2 linked regions of the Elephas maximus indicus genome follow. The protein of the gene in region 1 purifies or fractionates together with the protein of each later gene. This does not show direct contact. Links are inferred from orthologs where the notes say so. Each region holds a gene or a part of one and is shown on either strand. Other genes may lie near its edges.

Evidence for each region.
Region 2: the proteins of USP33 (region 1) and ROBO1 purify together in Homo sapiens (affinity purification with western blotting; 5 studies listed by BioGRID and IntAct, with this or other methods). This does not show direct contact. The link is inferred for Elephas maximus indicus from reciprocal best matches to the Homo sapiens genes USP33 and ROBO1.

What each region holds. Positions count from the first base shown.
Region 1 is NC_064821.1:125,660,719-125,671,960, reverse strand, and holds the start of USP33 (ubiquitin carboxyl-terminal hydrolase 33), read left to right. Parts: upstream 1-6,905; 5' UTR 6,906-7,128; intron 7,129-11,242. UniProt on the Homo sapiens protein: Deubiquitinating enzyme involved in various processes such as centrosome duplication, cellular migration and beta-2 adrenergic receptor/ADRB2 recycling.
Region 2 is NC_064836.1:51,768,796-51,779,661, reverse strand, and holds the start of ROBO1 (roundabout homolog 1), read left to right. Parts: upstream 1-5,701; 5' UTR 5,702-5,929; intron 5,930-10,866. UniProt on the Homo sapiens protein: Receptor for SLIT1 and SLIT2 that mediates cellular responses to molecular guidance cues in cellular migration, including axonal navigation at the ventral midline of the neural tube and projection of axons to different regions during neuronal development.

The sequences.
Region 1 (11,242 bases):
GAATACCAATTGAGATGTTACAACAAAGGGATGCAGCGCTGGAGGTGCTCACTCATCTATGCCAACAAATTGGCATTTGACTGTGTGGATCATAACAAATAGTGAATAACATTACAAAGAATGGGAATTCTAGGACACTTAATTGTGCTCATGGGGAACCTACAAATAGACCAAGAGTTAGCTGTTCAAACAGAACAAGGGGGATACTGTGTAGTTTAAAGTCAAGAAGGGTGTGTGTCAGGGTTGCATCCTTTCATCATTTTTATTCAAAATGTATACTGAGCAAAAAATTCAGGAAGCTGGACTATATGAAGAAGAACGAGGCATCAGTATTGGTGGAAGAATCATTAACAACCTGTGTTATGCAGGTGAAACAACCTTGCTTGCTGAAAGTGAAAAGGACTTGAAGCACTTAGTGATAAAAATCAAAGACTACAGCCTTCAGTATGGATCACACCTCAACATAAAGAAAACAAAAATCCTTACAACTGGACCAACAAACATAAATAGAAAAAAGGCTGAAGTTGTCAAGGATTTCATATTACACAATCAACACCCATGGAAGTAGTCAAGAAACCAAATGACATATTGCATTAGGCGAACCTACTGCAAAAGACCTCTTTAAAGTGTTGAAAAGCAAATATGTCACTTTGAGGACTAAGGTGCACCTGTCCCAGGTCATATCGCCTCATACGTATGCAAAAGCTGGACAATGAATATGACAGACCGCGGAAGAATTGATGTTTTTGAATTACGGTCTTGGTAAAGAATATGGATGATGCCATGGACTGCCAGAAGAGCAAACAAGTCTGTATCAGAAGAAATACACCCAGAGCACTCCTTGGAAGTGAGATCTCACATACTTTGAACATATTATCAGGAGGGACCAGTCCTTGGAGAGGGACATCATGTTTGGTAAGACAGAGAGTCAGTGGAAAAAAAGGAAGTCCCTGGACGAGATGGATTGACTACAGTGGCTGCAACAACGGGTTCAAACCTAACAGCTATTATGAGGATGCTGCAGTGTTCCATTCTGTTGTACACAGGGTCGCCATGAGTTGGAACTCACTTGATAGCACCTAAACAACAATAGTAAAGGCCTAGATTGCTTTAAAGAGTCTGTTGGTATAATTACGGACGTCAAAAGCAATTCCAGTGATAGCTCAGAAGGAACTGAGGAGAGTTGCAGAGAAAGCCCCCATTGTCTTACGGAATACATATAGCACCAGCAACAGAATGTTGCTAGACACGTGGATGTTAACGTGCTTCAGGTGAGTCTATAAAAGAAAATGACGAACATGGGATTGGACAACGGAAGAAGAGTGATGCTTCTCATGTAATGGCAAAGAATTTGTCTGAATTATGTTCAAATGTTTGGAGGAAGGTAGAAGTTGTAAGTGATGAACTTGGATATTTGGTTAAGGAGATTTCTAAGCAAGGTCTTAAAGGAACCGCATGGGTTGTCCTTGCTTCTTATAGTAAAGTGTGAAAGGAAAGAGACTTAAAACTGAACTGTGCAAAATGAAAACAGAATTTAAAGATTTGGAGAATTCTGTTGTACAAACTAAGGACACACGTCCTAGAATGTTCACCAAGGAAAACTATAAAAGAGATTAAGCCTGTGACAGGTGTACCTAACCAACTACCACAGCAGAAAATCCATCAGCTTAGATTGAAGTGGGCAGAGAAAGAATGAAAGTAAAGAATGCTGTCAGCTTCTTGGAATTCTACAGGCAAGAAAACAGGCCAAAGGAGCTGTCTGTTGTCCTCCAAGAAAGGAAAGGACCATCCCTGAAGCAGTTGGAGAGCAGCAGAACTGTTAGAAGGAGCACAGGAAGCAGGGTCTTCTCAGTTTTTAAGGGTGGATTGAACTCTGTTTCCTCAAAATATGTGTTGCAATTCCTAACCTCTTTTTTTTTTTTTTTTTTTATGAGCGTGGTTATAATCGCATTTGGGAATGGGTTGTCTTTGTCAACCCACGTCAGTATGTTAACGAGGTTAATGAGGTCGGTATGTTAATGAGGAAGGATTAATGTAGGGTGAACCTCGAGTCAATCTCTTTCGAGATATAAAAGATATTAAATGCAAGCTAGTAAGCATAAATGGAGGAAAAGAGATTCCAAGCCACATGAACATTGCCCCAGAATAGACGCTCAGAAGAGACGAGGACCTTCTCCATGGCCAATAGAGAGAGAAATTCTTCCCCTAGAGCTGGCGCTCCGACTTTGGACTTCTAGCCTCTTAAATGGTGACAAAATAATTTTCTGTTTGTTAAAGTCACCTATTTATGATATTTCTGTTATAGAAACACCAGATAATTAAGACAAATGGTTGATGCCAAGAAAAATTTCAGAGTTTTCAGTGACTTAAAAGGTGCACATGCAGCCTCGAAGGTGATTGTGATGAAGAATTTGTTGTGAGCAGAGGCTGGTTCAATGGTTTTCAAAGTGAGGGCAAATTTACATTACATTAAAGGGCAAGTCCGAGTTGTCCTTAAGTCAGAAGTCCCTAACTCAGGGACTGCCTATATATTCAACATTTTTCACCAACACCATAATTCAAACGCATCAATTCTTCTTTGGTCTTCCTTACTCCTTGTACAGCTTTCCCACGCATATGAAGCAACTGAAAATACCATGGCTTGGGTCAGGTGCATCTTAGTCCTTACAGTGACATCTTTGCTTTTTAACACTTTAAAGAGATTTTTTTTACAGTAAATGTGCCCAGTGCAATAAGTCATTTGATTTCTTGACTGCTGTTTCCACGGGCGTTGATTGTGGATTTAAGTAAAATAAAATTCTTGATCACGTCAATATTTTCACCGTTTATCATGATGTTGCTTATTGGTCCAGTACTGAGGAGTTTTGTTTTCATTATGTAGAAGTATAATCCATATTAAAGGCTATAGTCTTTAATCTTCATCAGTAAGTGCTTCAAGTTCTCTTTACTTTCAGCAAGCAATATTGTATCATCTACATATCTCTGGCTGTTAATAAACCTTTCTCTAATCTTGATGCTGTGTTCTTTTTCGTATAGTCCAGCTTCTCAGCATGCAGATTAAGTATGGTAAAACGATACAACCCTGACTCACACCTTTCCTGATTTTAAACCACACAGTATCCCATTGTTCTGTTGGCCTATATGCAAGTTCCCCATGAGCACAATTAAGTGTTTTGAAATTCCCATTCTTTGCAATGTTATCCATAATTTGTTATGATCCATACAGTCGAAGGCTTTGGCATAGTCAACAAAATACAAGTAAACATCTTTCTGGTATTCTCTGGTTTCAGCACAGATTCATCTGACATCAGCAATGCTTTGCCTGGTTCCTCGTCCTCTTTGAATCTGGTGTGAATTTCTGGCAGTTCCCTGTTTTGGTACTGCTGTAACTGCTTTTGAATGATCTTCAGAGAAACTTTACTTCCATGTGATAGTAATGACAGTATTCGGTAATCTCCGCATTCTGTTGTGTCACCTTCCTTTGGGACAGGTGCAAATATGGATCTCTTCCAGTCAGTTGGCCAGGTAGCTGTCTTCCAAATTTCTTAACAAAGATGAATGAGTACTTCCAGTGTTGCATTCGTTCATTGGAACTTCTCAATTGGTATTGAGTGCCTTGTTTTTTGCCAACGCCTTCAGTGCAGATTAGAACGCTTCAATATCATTGGTTCTTGATCATATGCTTGCCTCTGAAATGGTGGAATTTCAACCAGTTATTTCTGGTACAGTGGCTCTGGGTATTCCTTCCGTCTTTTTTTCTAATTTATTTATTGTGCTTTAAGTGAAAGTTTACAAATCAAGTCAGTTTCTCATACAAAAACTCATGCATACCTTGCTATGCACTCCTAGTTGCTCTCCCTGTAATGAAACAGCACACTCCTCTCTACTCTGTATTCCCCATGTCCATTCAACCAGCTTTTGTCCCACTATGCCTTCTCCTGTCACCTCCAGACAAGAGTTGCCCACATAGTCTCATGTGTCTACTTGAGCCAAGAAGCTCACTTCTCACCAGTATCATTTTCTGTCTTATCGTCCACTGTCTGAAGAGTTGGCTTTGGGAATGGTTCCGGTCTTGGGCTAACAAGGGGTCCAGGAGGCCATTACCTCCGGGTTCCCTCTAGTCTCAGTCAGACCATTAAGTCTGGTCTTTTCATGAGAATTTGGAGTCTGCATCCCACTGCTTTCCTGCTTCCTCAGGGGCTCTCTGTTGTGTTCCCTGTCAGGGCAGTCATCAGTGGTAGCCAGGTACCATCTAGTTCTTCCAGTCTCAGGCTGATGTAATCTCTGGTTTATGTGACCCTTTCTGTCTCTTGGGCTCATCTTTACCTTATGTCTTTGGTGTTCTTCGTTCTCCTTTGCTCTAAATGAGTTGAGACCAATTGATGTATCTTAGATGGCCACTTGCTACAGTTAAAGACCCAAGACACCACTCACCAAAGCGGGATCCTTCCATCTTCTTTTGATGCTTCCTGTGTCGTTCAATATTTTGTCCATAGAATCCTTCAATATTGCTACTGAGGCCTGAATTTTTTCTTCCATTCTTTCAGTTGCATAAATGTCAAGTGTGTTTCTCTCTTCTGGTTTTCTAACTCCAGGTCTTTGCACATTTCATTATAATACTTTACTTTGTCTTCTTGTGGTGCCCTTTGAAATCCTCTGTACATTATTTCTTCCATTTTCTTTAGCTACTCTACATTCAAGAGTAAGTTTCAGAGTCTCTTCTGACATCCATTTTTGTCTTTTCTTTCTTTCCTGTCTTTTTAATGACCTTTGCTTTCTTCATGTATGATGTCCTTCATGTCATCCCACAATTCATCTCGTCTTAAGTCATTAGTGCTCAATGCCTCAAATCTATATTTGATATGGTCTCTAAATTCAGGTGGGATATATTCAAGGTTATACTTTGGCTCTTGTGGACTTGTTTTAATTTTCTTCAGCTTCAACTTGAACTTGCACATGAGCAATTGATGGTATGTTCTGGAGTTGGCCCCTGGCCTTGCTCTTACCGACGATATTGAGCTTTTCCCTTGTCTCTTCCCACAAATGTAGTCGATTTGATTCCTATGTATTCCATCTGGTGAGGACCATACGTATAGTCGCTGCTTATGTTGGTTCAAACAGGTATTTCCAAAGAACAGGTCATTGGTCTTGAAAAATTCTTTCATGCAAACTTCAGTGTCATTTCTATCACCAAGGCTATATTTTGCAACTTCTGATCCTCCTTCTTCGTTTCCAACTTTTGCATTGCAATTGCCAGTAATTATCACTGTATATTGATTGTATGTTGGATCAATTTCAGACTGCGGAAGTTGGTAAAAATCTCCAATTTCTTCATCTTTTGGCATTCATGTTTGGTGCATAAATTTGAACAATAGTCGTATTAACTGGTCTTCCTTGTAGGTGTATGGGTATTACCAGTGTTGTACTTCAGGTTAGATCTTGAAATGCTCTTTTTGATGATGAACATGAAGCCCCCTTCCTCTTCAGTTTGTCATTCCCAGCATAGTAGGCCATATGATTATCTGATTCAAAATGGCCAGTACCAGTCTTCTTCAGCTCACTAATGCCTAGGATATCTATTTTCAAGTGTTCCATTTCATTTTTGTAGAACTTCTAATTTTGCTAGATTCGTACTTCGTACATTCATGTTCTGATTATTAGTGGACGTTTGCAGCTGTGTTTTCTCACTTTGAGTGGTGCTACATCAGCGAGTGAAGGCCCTGAAAGCTTTACTGCATCCACATTATTAACGTCAGCTCTATTCTGAGGCAGCAACTCTTCCCCAGTCATATTTTTTTTTTTGAGTGCCTTCCAACCTGAGGGGCTCATCTTCCCACATTATAATGTTTTGGTGCTATTCATAAGATTTTCAGTGGCCAGTTTTTTAGAAGTAAATTGTCAGGTCCTTCTTCTTAGTCTGTCTTAGTTTGTAAGCTCTGCTGAAACCTGTCCATCATGGGTGGCCCTGCTGGTACATGAAATAGTGGTGGCATAGCTTACAGCATCACAGCAATACGCAAGCCACCACAGGAAGACAAACTGACAGACGCATGGTGGAAAGAGATGCTGCAGCATATATCGGGGGTGTCCTGTTGCCACAAGACACCAGGAAGGAAATTATTTTAATGATCATTCCTTTGTCTCTTTTTATCCTAAAAAAATTTAATCAGAAGCTCCATTATTTCCTACCTGTTCCTGATGGAGACTGAGCATCTGAAACAACATTTGAGTACATGATCCCCATACTGGAGACCAAAAATTTAGAGGTGATAGGACAGATTGGAACTGGTAACGTTTAACAATTGTTATTAATTTAACTGTTTTTGTTATCATTTATTAAACAAGCAATGGAATGAATCTAACAATCACATGAATTGGAAGTCAAGTCTCTCTTAATCCTCTAGGCACTGGGCAAATACTCGCGTTTCAATAAATATTTGATCTTTTTTATTTTGGCTTAGAAGAAACTGGTAGAGATGAATTCCTTCTTTGCAGATGTAAAAAGGGGGAAACACAATTGCCTCCAGAGATTCCAGGTGCTAAGAAATTGGGTTAAGAAAAAGGAGAGGAGAGTACTGAATTAACTGAAATCTAATATTTCTTTGCATAAGGTCGGAAACCTGAGGCCCTTAATGCTGGTTTGTGCAATGCACGGAAACAAGGCCTTGTAACGGCTGTAGTGTGACTGCGGAAGAGGGAGCCAAAGCGTGTAAAAGCGAAAAATGTCTAGAGTCATAAACTGCTTCGCACGTACATGCTCCCTGTACAGGCAGCTAAGCTACCTTTGAAGTACCAGCTGCAAAGGCGGCCTGAGTCTCAGCACCTGGTCCCGGCTCGTTGCCCGCAGCCCCGCCCCTGGGTCGGGCTCTCCCAGAAGCTCCGCCCCTTCCCGCCCTCCCGCGGCGCCCGAGACGCCTGCAGCGAACCGGGAGGCACCGGAAGGAGCGGCTGCTGCTGCGGGAAGTGGAGGGTTCGGGAGGTGGGGACCCCGCGGGTAGGGCTGCGGAGGCCCCGCTGGACGTGACGCCGCTCCTTTCCTAGGCTATAGAGGAAAAGAAGAGCTCGTCGGGGAGCGGCCGCAGGCCACTGTTGACTGCGCAGGCGGGGCCCGCGGGGAAGGCCGTGGAGGTGAGCGCGGCGGTGCTGGGAGGGGCGTGGGGCCGAAGGGCGTCTCGCCAGCCACCGGCGGCCGGTCTAGGTTCTTGCTCCGGAGGCTGCGGCTGGTGCCGCGGCCTCTCATTCTTAGTCCGGAGAGGCGGGGCGGTGCGGTCGGGAAGGAGGCCTGGGCTCCTCAGTGCCCTGCCTAGCAGGGTTGAGCCGGTGGCCTCCACTCCGGGGGTCAGGGCAGGACTCGAACCCGCGGTTGATTTGAGGAAGGATCTGGAGGGGACGCTTCCCTGTGAAGCATGAGGCGGGAGGGGTGAGGCGAGCCCGGGAGAGGGGCTACGCTCCCTTCCTCTGTCTCCCGTATCCGGGTCGCCAGCCTCCCTTGGTGGGCACCGGCTCCTGAAAGTCCCGCAGCGCGCCAGCTCCTTGGTTCAGTTTCGCTTTGTGGCGCAGTTGGGGTCGCCGTACCGTATGGTGCGGCCCTGTTACTCATTGTTATGAACGGGAAAGCCAGGGTGTCATTGTCCCTGGAATTTTTTCTTCCACCGATATTTGATACTGTTTCAAAGGTTACCGCTTACCGTCTGTTTATCTGCAGCTTTTGTTTGGGTCAAATTTCCATAGTGCGTGGTTTCCCAAACCTTTACTCATAGATGTTTCTTAACTCTAAAACATTCTTCATATGTATATTTTACAAGGTGCAAGTTGAGCTATTGGACGAAATTCTTCTAGGTGTTTTGCACTCAACTTAAGTATTTTTAGAGTTTATATTCTCATATAATCGCTGTTACGCCTGGAAAATTGAGCCAGTGGGGGACACCCTGGCAGGAACATAGATTCTAAATTGAGAATGAATTTTACCTCAAGGATCCCCCGGTTTCTTGCTTAGTAAATACGTGGGATTTTACAGTTCCGTAGTTTAATCAGATTATTTTTCCTTTAAGAAAAATCCGTTTTGAAAAGTGATGAGGCAGTCCAAGTTATTTCTGGTTTAGACAGAACGCTTGTATCACCTGGAAAGTCTGACCAAATTGTTGTAATAGGCTATTTGATTTAAAGCTAATATAAATATCGTCAGTGAATTCACCCTATTAATACACGTAAGGATAATAGTAGAAATCTTATTGAACGACAATACTGATTTTAAGAAAAAGGTTATAGTAATAATCTGAGAAGCTGGACTATACGAAGAGGAACATGACATCAGGATTGGAGGAATACTGACATATTGCATGTGAACCCTGGACAATGAATAAGAAAGACTGAAGAATTGATGCCTCTGAATTCTGGTGTTCACAAAGAATGTTGAATATACTATGCACTGCCAGAACAAACAAATCTGTCTTGGAAGAAGTACAGCCAGAGTACTCCTTAGAGGGGAGGATGGCGAGACTTCATTTCATGTAGTTCGGACATGTTATCAGGAGGGACCAGTCCTGGAGAAGATCATCATGATTAGTAAAGTATAGGGTCAGCAAAAATGAGGAAGGCACTCAACAAGATGGATTGACATAGTGGCTGCAACAGTGGGCAGTGGTTGTGAGGATGGTACAGGACCTGGCAGTGTTTTGTTCTGTTGTACATCGAGTCAAAACTGACTCGATGGCACCTAACAACACAACAGTAGTTACACTATCCTAGAAGCTTTCTGTTATTTCATCTACTTTGGTAGGATTGAAAAAAAGGACAGTACAAAAAATACTACAGGGATGAAATATTTGACCTCCTGCTGCTTGCAACAGGCATAGTATATTGCTTCTTATTTTTTATGTAATTTATTGCTAATTTTCTGGTTATTGAATTTTTTTTTAATTGTGCTTTTTTTTAGGTAAAAGTTTACAGAGCAAGTTAGTTTCTCATTAAACAATTAATACACATATTGTTTTGTGACATTGGTTGCCAACCCCGTGACATGTTAACCCTTTCCTCTTCTCAGCCTCGGGTTTTCCATTTTCATTCATATGGCTTTCCCGCCCTCTCTTGCCTTCTTGTCATTTCCCCTGGGCTGGTGTGCCCATTTAGTCTCATATATGTGGTTGAGCTGCATGTGTTACTGTTTGTTATATAGGCCTGTTTCATCTGTGGCTGAAGGGTGAGCCTCAGGAGTGACTTCAGTACTGAGTTAAAAGGGTGTCCAGGGGTTTCTCCAGTCTCTGTCAGACCAGTAAGTCTGGTCATTTTTTGTGAATTAGAGTTTTATTCTACATTTTTCTGTATTTTTGTTGGAAACCTTCTATTGTGATCCCTGTCAGAGCAGTTGGTAGTCGTAGCACCATCTAGTTGTGCTGGACTCAGTCTGGTGAAGGCTGTGGTAGTTGTTGCCCGTTAGTCCTTTGGACTAGTCTTTCCTTTGTGTCTTTTGTTTTTTTAATTCTCCCTTGCTTCAGATAGAGTTGGTGGTCATTGGAGTTTTTTATAACCTATCAACAAGCAAATCTTTTTTTATATAACAGCATAGTTTAATGGCTTTAGATAGTAGTAACTAGATCATTTTAAATACCTGAAATTCAGAGTTCAAGAGGTGATGATTCTTATATTTATGTATTACCATTGGAATTTTCAATGACCTTTCACATATAATCGTATTTCATTCTCACGGCAGTCATCTGAGTTAGGTATGCCAAGAAGTAAAGTCTTTCCCTCCCTGACAAAAGCCTTTGGAGACTGTGTAAGGATCAGAATTTTCTTAAATCCTGAAATAATTTTGGTGAGGCAGCCTTTGAAATAAAATGGAATGCAGATAGATTTAAGATCTTGGAGCAGTGTGAACTATAACATTTAACAGGCCCTGGACTCCTTGCAAGAAGGCGAAGTGTATAAAATGGTGAAAGATTTTTGGTGATAACTATGAAATGTCATTTATAATAAAGAAAGGAATAAATAACAGCTTTACTTCTTGAGTTTTTAAACTCTTTTCAAAAGTCTATATGTGGTTGATCTTATCAATTGATGCAGAAAAGGCATTTGACAAAGTCCAACACCCAATTATGATAAAAACTCTCACCAAAATAGGAATCGAAGGAAAATTCCTCAACATAATAAAGGGCATCTATACAAAGCCAACAGCCAACATCACTCTAAATGGAGAGAGCCTGAAAGCATTTCCCTTGAGAACGGGAACCAGACAAGGATGCACTTTATCACCGCTCTTATTCAACATTGTGCTAGAGGTCCTAGCCAGAGCAATTAGGCTAGACAAAGAAATAAAGGGCATCTGGATTGGCAAGGAGGAAGTAAAATTATCTCTATTTGCAGATGACATGATCTTATACACAGAAAACCCTAAGGAATCCTCCAGAAAACTACTGAAACTAATAGAAGAGTTTGGTAGAGTCTCAGATTATAAGATAAACATACAGAAATCACTTGGATTCCTCTACATCAACAAAAAGAACAACGAAGAGGAAATAACCAAATCAATACCATTCACAGTAGCCACCAAGAAGATAAAATACTTAGGAATAAATCTTACCAAAGATGTAAAAGACCTATACAAAGAAAACTACAAAGTACTACTACAAGAAACTAAAAAGGACCTACTTAAGTGGAAAAACATACCTTGCTCGTGGATAGGAAGACTTAACATAGTAAAAATGTCTATTCTACCAAAAGCCATCTATACATACAATGCACTTCCAATCCAAATTCCAATGTCATTTTTTAATGTGATGGGGAAACAAATCACCAACTTCATATGGAAGGGAAAGAAGCCTCGGATAAGTAAAGCATTACTGAAAAAGAAGAAGAAAGTGGGAGGCCTCACTCTACCTGATTTCAGAACCTATTATACAGCCACAGTAGTCAAAACAGCCTGGTACTGGTACAACAACAGACACAGACCAATGGAACAGAATTGAGAACCCAGATATAAATCCATCCACATATCAGCAGCTGATATTTGACAAAGGCCCAGGGTCAGTTAATTGGGGAAAAGATAGTCTTTTTAACAAATGGTGCTGGCATAACTGGATATCCATTTGCAAAAAAATGGAACAGGACCCATACCTCACACCATGCACAAAAACTAACTCCGAGTGGATCAAAGACCTAAACATAAAGACTAAAACGATAAAGATCATGGAAGAAAAAATAGGGGCAACCTTAGGAGCCCTAGTACAAGGCATAAACAGAATAC
Region 2 (10,866 bases), on another chromosome or scaffold:
TTTTTTAAGACTAAACAATGTTAAAATTTATTTTCTGCAATTCCTCTCTTCTAAGGGGATGACGCTATTGTAGCTGGGGTCTTTTTTTTTTTTTTTTTTTGGCTTCTCTTTAATTAAAAATAATTTTCCCTTAATTACTATTGTGGAAAGTCTATTTTATGTTTCTAACATAGTGTCCTATAAAACAAATTTTAATCTTTACTAAATGAATGTGTGACTCTTAAGTATTAGCTTTATACAGGCAGAGGTTGGTCTAGGACAAAAGCAAAAGAGCATTGCATTTTGATTGAATTTAGCTACCTAAGAACTATGATATTAAAAGAAAATGTGACTTAAAATAATTGTTGTGCTATTATTCTTTTAGAAGCATATCTTAAAAGAAACTGAATATGCTTTTAAATATGTTAGATACTGGTTAGCAAACTTTTCCTTAGTCTAACCAGTTGTCTTGTTGGAAGGTCAAACCACTAGATCAACCATTAACTTTGGTATAACAAACATACAGCATATTGATCATATGTGTAACCTCCATTAAGCAGCAGCAGTGGTGACACGTTGTTGTTAGGTGCCATTGAGTCACTTCCGACTCACAGTGATCCTATGTACAACAGAACGAAACACTGCCCAGTCCTGCACCATCTTCACAATCCTTGTTAAGCTTAAGCCCATTGTTGTACCCATTGTGTCAATCCATCTCATTGAGGGTCTTCCTCTTTTTTGATGACCCTCTACTTTACCAAGCATGACGTCCTTCTCCAGGGAATGATCCCTCCGGACAACATGTCCAAAGAATGTGAGGCATAGTTTTGCCATCCTTGCGTCTAAGGAGCATTCTGGTTGTATTTCTTCTGAGACAGATTTGTTCGTTCTTTTGGCAGTCCATGGGTATATTCAATATTCTTCTCCAACATCACAATTGAAAGACATCAATTCTTCTTTGGTCTTCTTTATTCATCATCCGGGCTTCACATACATGGAAGGCAGTTGAAAACACCATGGCTTGGGTCAGGCCCACCTTAGTCTTCGAGGTGACATCTTTGCTTTTCAACACTTTAAAGAGGTCTTCTGCACCAGATTTGCCCAATGCAATGCATCTTTTTGATGTCTTGATTGCTGCTTCCATGGGTGTTGATTGTGTATCCAAGTAAAATGAAATTCTTGGCAACTTCAATCCTTTCCCCATTTATCATGATGTTGCTTATTGGTCCAGTTGTGAGGGTTTTTGTTTTTTTTATGTTGAGGTATAATCCATACTGAAGGCTGTGGTCTTTGATCTTCATCAATTAAGTGCTTCAAGTCCTCTTCACTTTCAGCAAGTGAGGTTGTGTCATCTGCATAACTCAGGTTGTTAGTGGGTCTTCCTTCAATCCTGATGCCTCCTTCTTCATATAGTCTAGCTTCTCTGTTTATTTGTTCAGTATACAGACTGAATAGGTATGGTGAAAGGATGCAATCTTGACACACACCTTTCCTGACTCTAAACCATGCAGTATCCCCTTGTTCTTTTCGAACGACTGCCTCTTGATCTATGCACGGTTTCCCCAGGAAACTTCTGAATCTGGCTTGAATTTCTGGCAGTTCCCTGTCAATACACTGCTGCAGCCACTTTTGAATGATCTTCAGCAAAATTTTACTTGTGTGTGATATTAATTATATTGCCCTATAAGTTCTGCATTCAGAGAGATCACTTTTCTTGGAAATAGGCATAAATATAGATTTCTTCCAGTCAGTTGGCCAGGTAGCTGTCTTCCTAATTTTTTTGACATAGACAAGTAAGCACTTCCAGTGCTGCATCCATCTGTTGATACAACAAAGTGGTGGCTTCGTTTTATATATATGCATTTGTTTGCTTTAATTCAAAAATTGACATTTTATAAGCATTTTTATGTACTTTAAAAAAAAAAAAAAAACAAGAATATGGGTCCTTTATTCTAAAACTTCTTAGGAGAACAGGTCAAAATCTTAAGAACCTAGTATTTGAATTAAAGATTGATGATTCACGCTTTTCTTAATATCAAAGGGTTATAACAGATGCCTCTCCATTTCTCATTTTTGTTGTTGTTTGTTCTTTCATCTTTTGCCAAAGCATCCCACTTCTTCATATTTATTGCCAACTTTTAACTTGCTTGCTTCACAATCCTGTTTGATACAGAGTAAAATATCCTCCTCCATACCTCCTTTCTTGCTGTTTTTTAAATTAGAATTTTAAATATTATGAGCATTCCATTCACGATTATCATCTGACTAAAGTCACCATACCATGAATTTCACATCTTTTCCAGATAGTGTCAAATTTAGTTCATCTTCTTTAAATTCCATATTTTGCCTCAAACTTATTATCTTATACAGATTAATTTCTAACTTTTGAGTTGTACTTTCTTCACTTGATTCAGCAATTCATCAAAATTGGTTGTTAAGCCACAATCTTAAATATGATCTCTTGCAAATTCCTAAACCATTCAGAGGGCATTTTAGCACTTCATTTAACAGCTTCCAAGTTAGCAAGATTGGTATAAATATTGTTGCTTACTACTGATATACTATATGTACTGGATTCTGAATTGATACAAATATTGGTATAAATATTACAAATTAGCATAAATACTGCCATTGACTTCAGATTTACTGAATTTGGAACTCTGAAAAAAAAAATTGCCTGTTTAGCCATATCCTTTGTATTATACTTCTACTTTGAAAAATATAATAATTTGTTTGTTAATTTTCTTGTTCATCTGTCAAGAATCAAACATAGGTGAGCAGATTAATAGATTAATGCCTATAGCTTTAGGATTTCCTAACTTATAAGTATTTTAACATTATTAAAGAGAATTTTTAAAATAGTTTGGAGAGTAGCTGGATGTTACTAGCGTTTATTTAATTTCCCCAAAGTGTACGTTATTACATGTTTACCTATCTAAATTTAGAAAGTAAGCTGATTACAGTAATGGCATCCTAGAATGTGTCAGGTATGTTTTGCTTTCCAACTTTTATAGATGTTCACATTAGCCACAATAAGGCACTGTCATCATGATCCAAGGACATAATGGAAATCAGTTTCTGACATAGCATATATTGTCCTTGAAAACTCCACCGACAAAATGAGAGGGCCAATAATACTTCAAATAAGAAAGAATAGATCCAGGGTATTCCTACAGACCTAGAAATCATGAAAATTATTGTGGCTTCAATATTATTATTGAAAATATATTTGCCTTAGTATTCACGAAGCAAGAAAAAATATTTTTTAATATTTGTAATCATATTTTGTCTTTGGGTAATATATGAGACTAAATTGGATAGGCATACCTATTTTATTCAAGTATATAAACAGAGTATGTTTTTTCAGAAAAAGAAAAACAAATTAAATTTAAGATTCTGTTCAGTTCCCTGTAAGTTAACAACCTGCTTTTAAGCAGAAAGTGAAAATTGATCTAGCAATATATGTTAATTGTGCTAGTAAGTCAGCTTCGGTTTAACTATTTTCTTTTGTTCATTATCACAACTTGCCCATCTATTCAGCTTCCATATTAAATTATAGTCATAGATAAACTGTGTTAATTTTGTATATATCTGCCTGGATAAAATATATCTTTTCTTAGTTCCAAAAATATATTCATCAAATGCACAACTTTCAACTTACACTTAGACTCCTAATGATTATTTTTTCAAGTCCACTTGTAACAGAAATTTGAAAGACCAATAAGGAGAATACTTCTTTTTCCTTCTAAGTGGATATGAATTATCTCCATTCAACTTTGCATGACCATTACGCTTTACTTACTTACTATAAAAAAAACCAACTATTAAATGATTTCTCTTTTCTTGCACAGAAAATATACTGTCTTACACTCAATATAGCAATATACTGATATTTTTATGTTAACTTTATTGGCTAATTGAAAAATTCTTAACCTGGGCTGAAGAGATTGTAATACTACTAAATAAAAGTCAATCCAGAACCTCTACGGGAAAAACAATGGCAATGGGGAAATGAAGCAAATAAATCCATATGGTAATCCGAAATCATCATGTCTTTTCACTCTGAATTAGTGACCATGGATGTTTCAAAAGTATGTGTTTGGTGGAAACTTTGCAAATATACAGGAGAACGCTGGATTTTCCAATCCCTGGAAGAAAATCTTTTTTTACACTCCAGTCGTGTAAGAGTTAATTCTGTTTCCCACCAGATGCAATCTGTAAGTTAGGTCTGGAAGGCAGCAAAGGCAACCTGGACTTGAAGTAACACTTCTGTTGTCAAGGGTTACTGATGGGGGAAGGGAAGGGGTTGGAAGGCGTTGGAAAGGGAAGGAGTTATGGAAATGAAGAAGGATCGTAGCACACACGACATAAATTCAAATGCTCTAGATGTATTTGAAATAAGATCTCAATTCTCTTGTGTTTTTGCATTTTGCATTTCATTTATTTAGTGTACACATGGCTGGCGAATTTCAGGGTTGGTTGTTGTTGACCTTATTTAGTGTATCACTTTCCAACAGCGTTCGGATGTAAATTATCAGCATAGTAATTTTGCAATTAAATTTGAATTTACCATTAAGACTTAATCTAAAATACAATACAATTATGCTGTAATATATAGTATACAATAAAGTTATGCTCTAATATCAACAAATATCTTAGGTGAACTTGGTGTACAGTCTGCGTCATTTCTGTTTACACTAGGGCTTCTCTTTTCCTCCAGAAAATTAAAGGTCTGGGGAAACAGCATGCTTAAGGGCTTTAAATTCATATCTATTAAGATTCAGTTATTATTATAAATTTTTAAAATAAAAAATTTTAAAATAGGTACCTTTAATAATGATGTACTGAAATGTTGCTTCTTTTTTTTTTTTGCATGTTCCAGTATTTCAAATTGCCAGTCACCACAAGCCTGCCTCACTTTAAATCTCCTTCTGCCAATTTGCATTAGTAATGGACTTGCTAAGAGAGAAACTGTAAAAAGGAAATGTGCCAATTAATAGGAAATACTTGACATACTGTGACATTATCAGTATATTTGATGAGACATTGCCAGTATATTTGATGATTTGTTTTTACACCTCAATATTCACAAATATTTCTGAATTTCTTATTTTGCAGAGTAGAAATGGGCGTCCATGCCATTGTCACTGATGGCATTTTTAGTAGGATTTTATTAACACAGCCCGTATTTTACAATCTATACACTCATATTTTAGCTGCTGTCATTTCATTAAGTTGTTCTATTTGGAGTAGCCATGCAAAAAATAAAATTAAGAGCTATTTTACTTAGAGAAGAGAAAAAGTATTTGTCTATAATACAAAGTAAAAACAGGTTTGTTTGTTTTTTTTTGCCAAAAGTATGTGTGAATTTTCTTCAGAAGTGTGCTTTTAAAATCCTTTGTATTTGCAAAGCCACTCCACACAGACAATTACAAGCAGATATGAAATGATAGATCATATGGCAGGAGTTTAAATATGAGGGGTTTTTTTTTTCCCCCTCTCGGTTAAGTTAAACATCGCAGCAGGCATTACAATACCAGAGGTAACGAATCAATTAAATCCATTTTCCCCTCCGCGTCCCCAACGCTGCGTGCGTAGTGTTGCTGTGTAGTTCAGAGCCTGAGCGGTAGGACCCAGGGGCCTCCGCAGCCACCAATAGAATCGCGCACTTGGACCTATTTGTATGCAATGCCGTCTGCTGTGCGCATTAATAGTAATACAGATAACGGGTTTGAAAGAATTCTCTACCGGAGGATTGGATTTTTCCAGGGTGCTGATACTGGGAAGTAATCCGACTTCGCTGTCTTCCTATTGCCCCCTCTTACGTTTTAAAGTCTCGGACAGCTTTTGCTTGGCTTAAACTCGGAAAGGTTTCCGTGCACAGCAAAGTTGGAAGGCTGCGCCGGTACCACCGAGCCGCTACGTTCCTGAAAACGGTCTGAATCGAAAGGTAAGTCTCTCAAGTGACTGTAAGCGAAGTGATAGCCGGCTTTAGAATTGTCGAAAGGGACACACTCGGTTTTACGTTAGTGGGTCCTGGAGTGCAGAATGGGTGCGGGAAAGACCGCAGTTTGTCCAGGAATTGTGCCTGGTGCAACGGGGATATTTGGAGGGTAGAATCAAAAGCCTTCCGGTTAAATGGGAAATTGCAGCTTTACGCTCTGACCAGATTCAACAAGTTTCCCTGCAGGGATGCGATGTTTGTTTATTTTCTTGCAAGTTGTGCAGAGTGTCTGTTCCCGGTGGGCTGAGCCTGCTTTAACAAAGAAGTTTCGGGATTTGGGTCTGGTGCGTGAGTGGTTTAATCCTTGTTTAAGGAGGTTTTGTGTTGCATTTGGGCTTCCTGGTTAAAGTGTTCGGCTGCTAATCGAAAGGTCGGCGGTTCGAAACCACCAGCAGCTCTGCGGGTGAAAGATGTGACAGATGTGGCTGTCTGCTTCCGTGTATAAGAAAAAGAAAAAAAAAATTTTTTTTTTCCTTGGAAACCAAATGGGTCACTTCCCCTACAGCCACGAGTAGGAATGGGCTCCACAGCAGTGTTTTATTATTATTATTATTATCATTATTATTATTATTATTTTGGAAGGAGGGGGAGGCACAGAAGGAAACTGCTTCTTGGAATGCTCCCAGCATCAGCAGCCTGCTGGGTTGGGGCTGGGCAACTTTGCAGCACAATCTCGATGTCTCTGACCGCACCGTGGTTGGTGGTGTGAGCTGAGCCTCGGAAACCAGCAGGCTCCAAGGCTAGCAGAGCTCCCAAACTTTGAAAGCGTTCTCCAAGGAGGATGAGAGTGGTGGCTTTTAAAACGATCATTACTGGGTGACTTTTGCTGAACTCTTAGTGTTGGGTAAGCAAGGAGGTTTTTGAAGACCTGCGTTCCAACCTGCAGCTTTTTTGCGTGGAAAACGCAGTGCTGATCCCGAGAAGGTGGGGGCTTGAAACTATGCCAGAAGGGACTTTGTCTGAGGGAGGAAAGGAGAGAGGAGAAAGATGAATGAGCGCGTTGCGTCCCATCTTTCACACACAAAAACCACACGCGTGGGACGTGCCAGAAAGCGCTCCAGTTGGTGGCGTTTAGCTGGAAAACGTATTGCAGGGAGGTCCAGGAGCCTCTGCATTATTGATGAAGCTCTGTGCCCTTCTAGGGGCTCTTCTCGCTGCTCCTCCTTTGCGCCGGGCCCCCGCCCGCGTCCCGCTGAGGTTGAGAGGCTGGCGCGGGTGCGGCGGCGGCGCGGCTCACCCCGCAGCGCTGCAGACACAATGGGGGAGCGGCAGGCAGAGCCCTGCGGGCGGGTGGCGCGGGGAGGTCACCGCTGCAATCCCGCTGCCGCAGCCCGCCTGTCGCTCCGCCGCAGGCTGCAGTGCTGCCGGAGCCGCTTCCTTCCGGCGGCCCGGCTCTCTGAGAGCCGGGCCCCGCGCAGGAGACACACACCTGGCCGCAAAGGTCCGGGGTTACCTTCCAGGGGCCACAGTGTGGCAGGCAGACAGGTGGAGTGGAGGAGACGGGACGTTAAGACTTCCCACTCCAGCTTCTGGTAAAAGCTACGACCTCTACACGAATATACCCCAGGCTGCGCTCCAGGCTTCCAAGAGGAGCTGCACCCCAAAGGAGAAAGGGGGCGTAGAGGAAAGAAGAAAAACGCTAATGAGGCTGCAGGAAGAGAGAGGAAGCAAGCGATCTGGGGCAATTTTGTTCATCAGTCTGGCTGGTCCTGGCTCTTTTAAGTAGGGTGTTTGCGATGGGGTTTTGAAATGCGGTCCCCCGCCTCTCTGCAGCACTAAAGGCGCAGCCTTCCAGAGGCAGGAGCTCACTAGAGACTCTTTCTAAAGATGAAGGAAGGAGATGGGCAGGAGACTGCTTTTTGCAGTGTCGTTTAACCCTGACCTCAGCACCTCCCACCCTTTGACGCCCCCACCAGGGAGTGCCCTGACCTTGCAAACTGCTCTATGTCACCTGCTCCGTTCTTTAAACGGTTTTAACAGGCTGTGTGTTACAAGGGCTGCTGTGAGATAGTTTGTGTGTTCCCAAGTGGAAGTAGAAGATGGTCTCATTTGGAGGTTGAGCGCCAACCCCGTTGGGTTTGGGGAGGGAGAGGGATCTCGGTTTCTTGAGGGGGTACTCTTAGAGAAAATACACTCTTTTGAGCACACGGGGAATGAACAGTGTCATTATGTTCTTCTCCCACTTTCTCTTGGCCCCTTTTGTTGTGTTCCTCTGGGAACTAGGATGTGATATCAAGCAGTAATATTTTGGGAATCGACCCACTTACTAGGAAGCCAACTAGAAGTCTTTAAGTGGGCTTTCAGGGCCACATTTGGATGCTCCTGAGATCTATCATTCTGGGAGACTCAGTTTACCATCCCAAGACCTGTGTCTCCTCTGTATTTGGGGGAGGCACAAGTAGTCTGAATGTTTTTGAAAAGCCTTCTGGGAGGAATGCAGCACATTGATTTTGCTACAGATGAATATGGAAGATGCAGGGTTGCTGGGTGTTCCTCTGTGTCCCCCACCACCACCACCACCAAAAAAAAAAAAAAAAACAGAAACCCAGACCAAACTTCCAGTTGGTAAAGGGCAGTCTTTGTTTCTTAGGACTCTTTCCCCTCCCATGGGGGTTGGGGTGGGTGGTGGGTGTGAGGACTGTGCAAAGACCAAGACAGAGTGTGTATGGAGCAAGGAAATTCACCTCATACTGTTGCCATGGATTTTGGACTTCCTTTAACCTTTCACCACACATCTTCCTGCTCCATGTGTCTTCCAATTTAGCCCTGTACAATCAGCAGAATTGAAGCGCAGTGACACAGCTGCAGAGCCCTGATGGAGGCTTACTCAAGAGAACAGCTGTTAATCACATGTTTGCTGTATTTTCCCACTTACTTCCTTTTCCTTCCGTTTCCTTCCCCTGTCCTTGAACAGTGTTACCATCTTCCAGGCTGCATTCAGTGAAGGCTTAGTGATTTCCAGTGATATAGCTCTATGCTGAGTGTGGGCGGAGGGCAGAGATTCAACAGCTGCTTAGGGAGTTCCATAGATTTAAAGCTGACGTTCCCTTATCCTATACTGCACAAAATAAAGAGTAAATATCCTAATCTCTCCCTAAAGAAAATTATGTGGGTTCTGTATAATAGTCTTTTATAGCATAGCAGAATCAATTCAAATGTAAAATAACATCGATCAGAGCTGAAAGGGATGCTGTACACTTTGAAAACTGGTGGTGTACTTGGCTAACAAAAGCTCACATTTGGTGGTGCATTCGTGAAGAACTCAGCTGCTAACCAAAAGATTGGCAGTTCAAATTCACCAGCCACTCCTCAGAAACCCTGTGGGGCAGTTCTAGTCTACCCTATAGGAACTATGAGTTGGAACTGACTGGATAACAATGGGTTTGGGTATTTTTGTTTTGTTTTGTTGTTTTATAACATGATACATTAATAACATGAGATACTTTTATTTAAGCAACACTTAATGTAAGTTACTGTCATTGTGAAGCTGAGCAACTCAAGGCACTGCAAAGAGGTGAGTTTTAAAGGAAAAAAAGGCAAAACAGTGAATAAGCCCTTGGCAGTTTGATGAATGAGCAGGTGCAATGCACCATTTGAAATGTAACTTGAAGTGAGGTTCCATCTAATTCACTGGAGAACGGGCTGCTCTTTATCACCTAGAAAACTCAACTGATTTTTCTCTCTGAGACCTGCAAGTTCAGATACAAAAACATAATAGCATACAGTAGGCTAAAATTATGAACTGGTCATTATCTCTCTGAACCTACTGTTGAAGTGAGCAGTCTTATTGATGCATTTATGTTTGTATCTAAAATGATATGATACCAGGCAGATCTCCGAATTCCACAGAAATATAGACCCTAGAAAAGTAACTGACTTATCCAAGGTCGTATAAGAGAGAGCTGTAGACATAGTGTTAGGCACCTTACCTCTGACAGATATTTTCACTTAGTCTTCACATCACCTTTTGAAGTAGGCTTTATTAGACTTCATTTACATATGAAGGAATTGAAGCTCAGAGAGGTTAAGTAAAAAGTACAAAGTAAAACAGCAAATAAGAGGAAGAGCCAGGATTGAGATACCAGTTTTTCCTCATGACAGAGTCTATCTTTTTCCAGTGTGTCATGCTTCTTTTAAGTGAACCAATGTTTGCAGATCACTGTACTTAGTATTTTCTGTAAATAAAACATTTCATTATTCTTTGAATTTTACATCAGCACTCATAATTTTCCAATCTGCCAGATCTCCTTTTCGTATACAAAACTTTTTTTTTTTTGGCACCTATCCCTGACCAATCTTCTACAAATAGTGACTTTCCAAAAATCCCATGGCCAGGGAATAACTTTATTGTTGTTGTTAGGTACCATTGAGTGGGTTCTGACCCATATCGACCCTGTGTACAACAGAAGGAAACACTGCCCTGTCCTGCCACATCATCACAATTGTTGCTGTTTGAGCCAATTATTGCAGCCACTATGTCAATTCATCTGGTTGAGGGTCTTCCTCTTTTTTGCTGACCCTCTCATTTACCAAGCATGATATACTCCTCCAGGGACTGAGCCCTCCTGATAACATATCCAAAGTACATGAGACAAAGTCTTGTCATCCTTGCTTCTAGGAGCATTCTGGCTGTACTTCTTTCAAGACAGATTTGTTCATTCTTCTGGTAGTCCATGGTATATTCAATATTCTTTGCCAAAACCATAATTCAAGTGCATCAATTCTTCAGTCTTCCTTACTCATTTCCAGTCTTCACATGCATATTGGAAACCCTGGTGGTGTAGTGGCTAAGTGCTACGGCTGCTAACCAAAGGGTTGGCAGTTCGAACCCACCAGGCGCTCCTTGGAAACTCTATAGGGCAGGTCTACTCTGTCCTATAGGG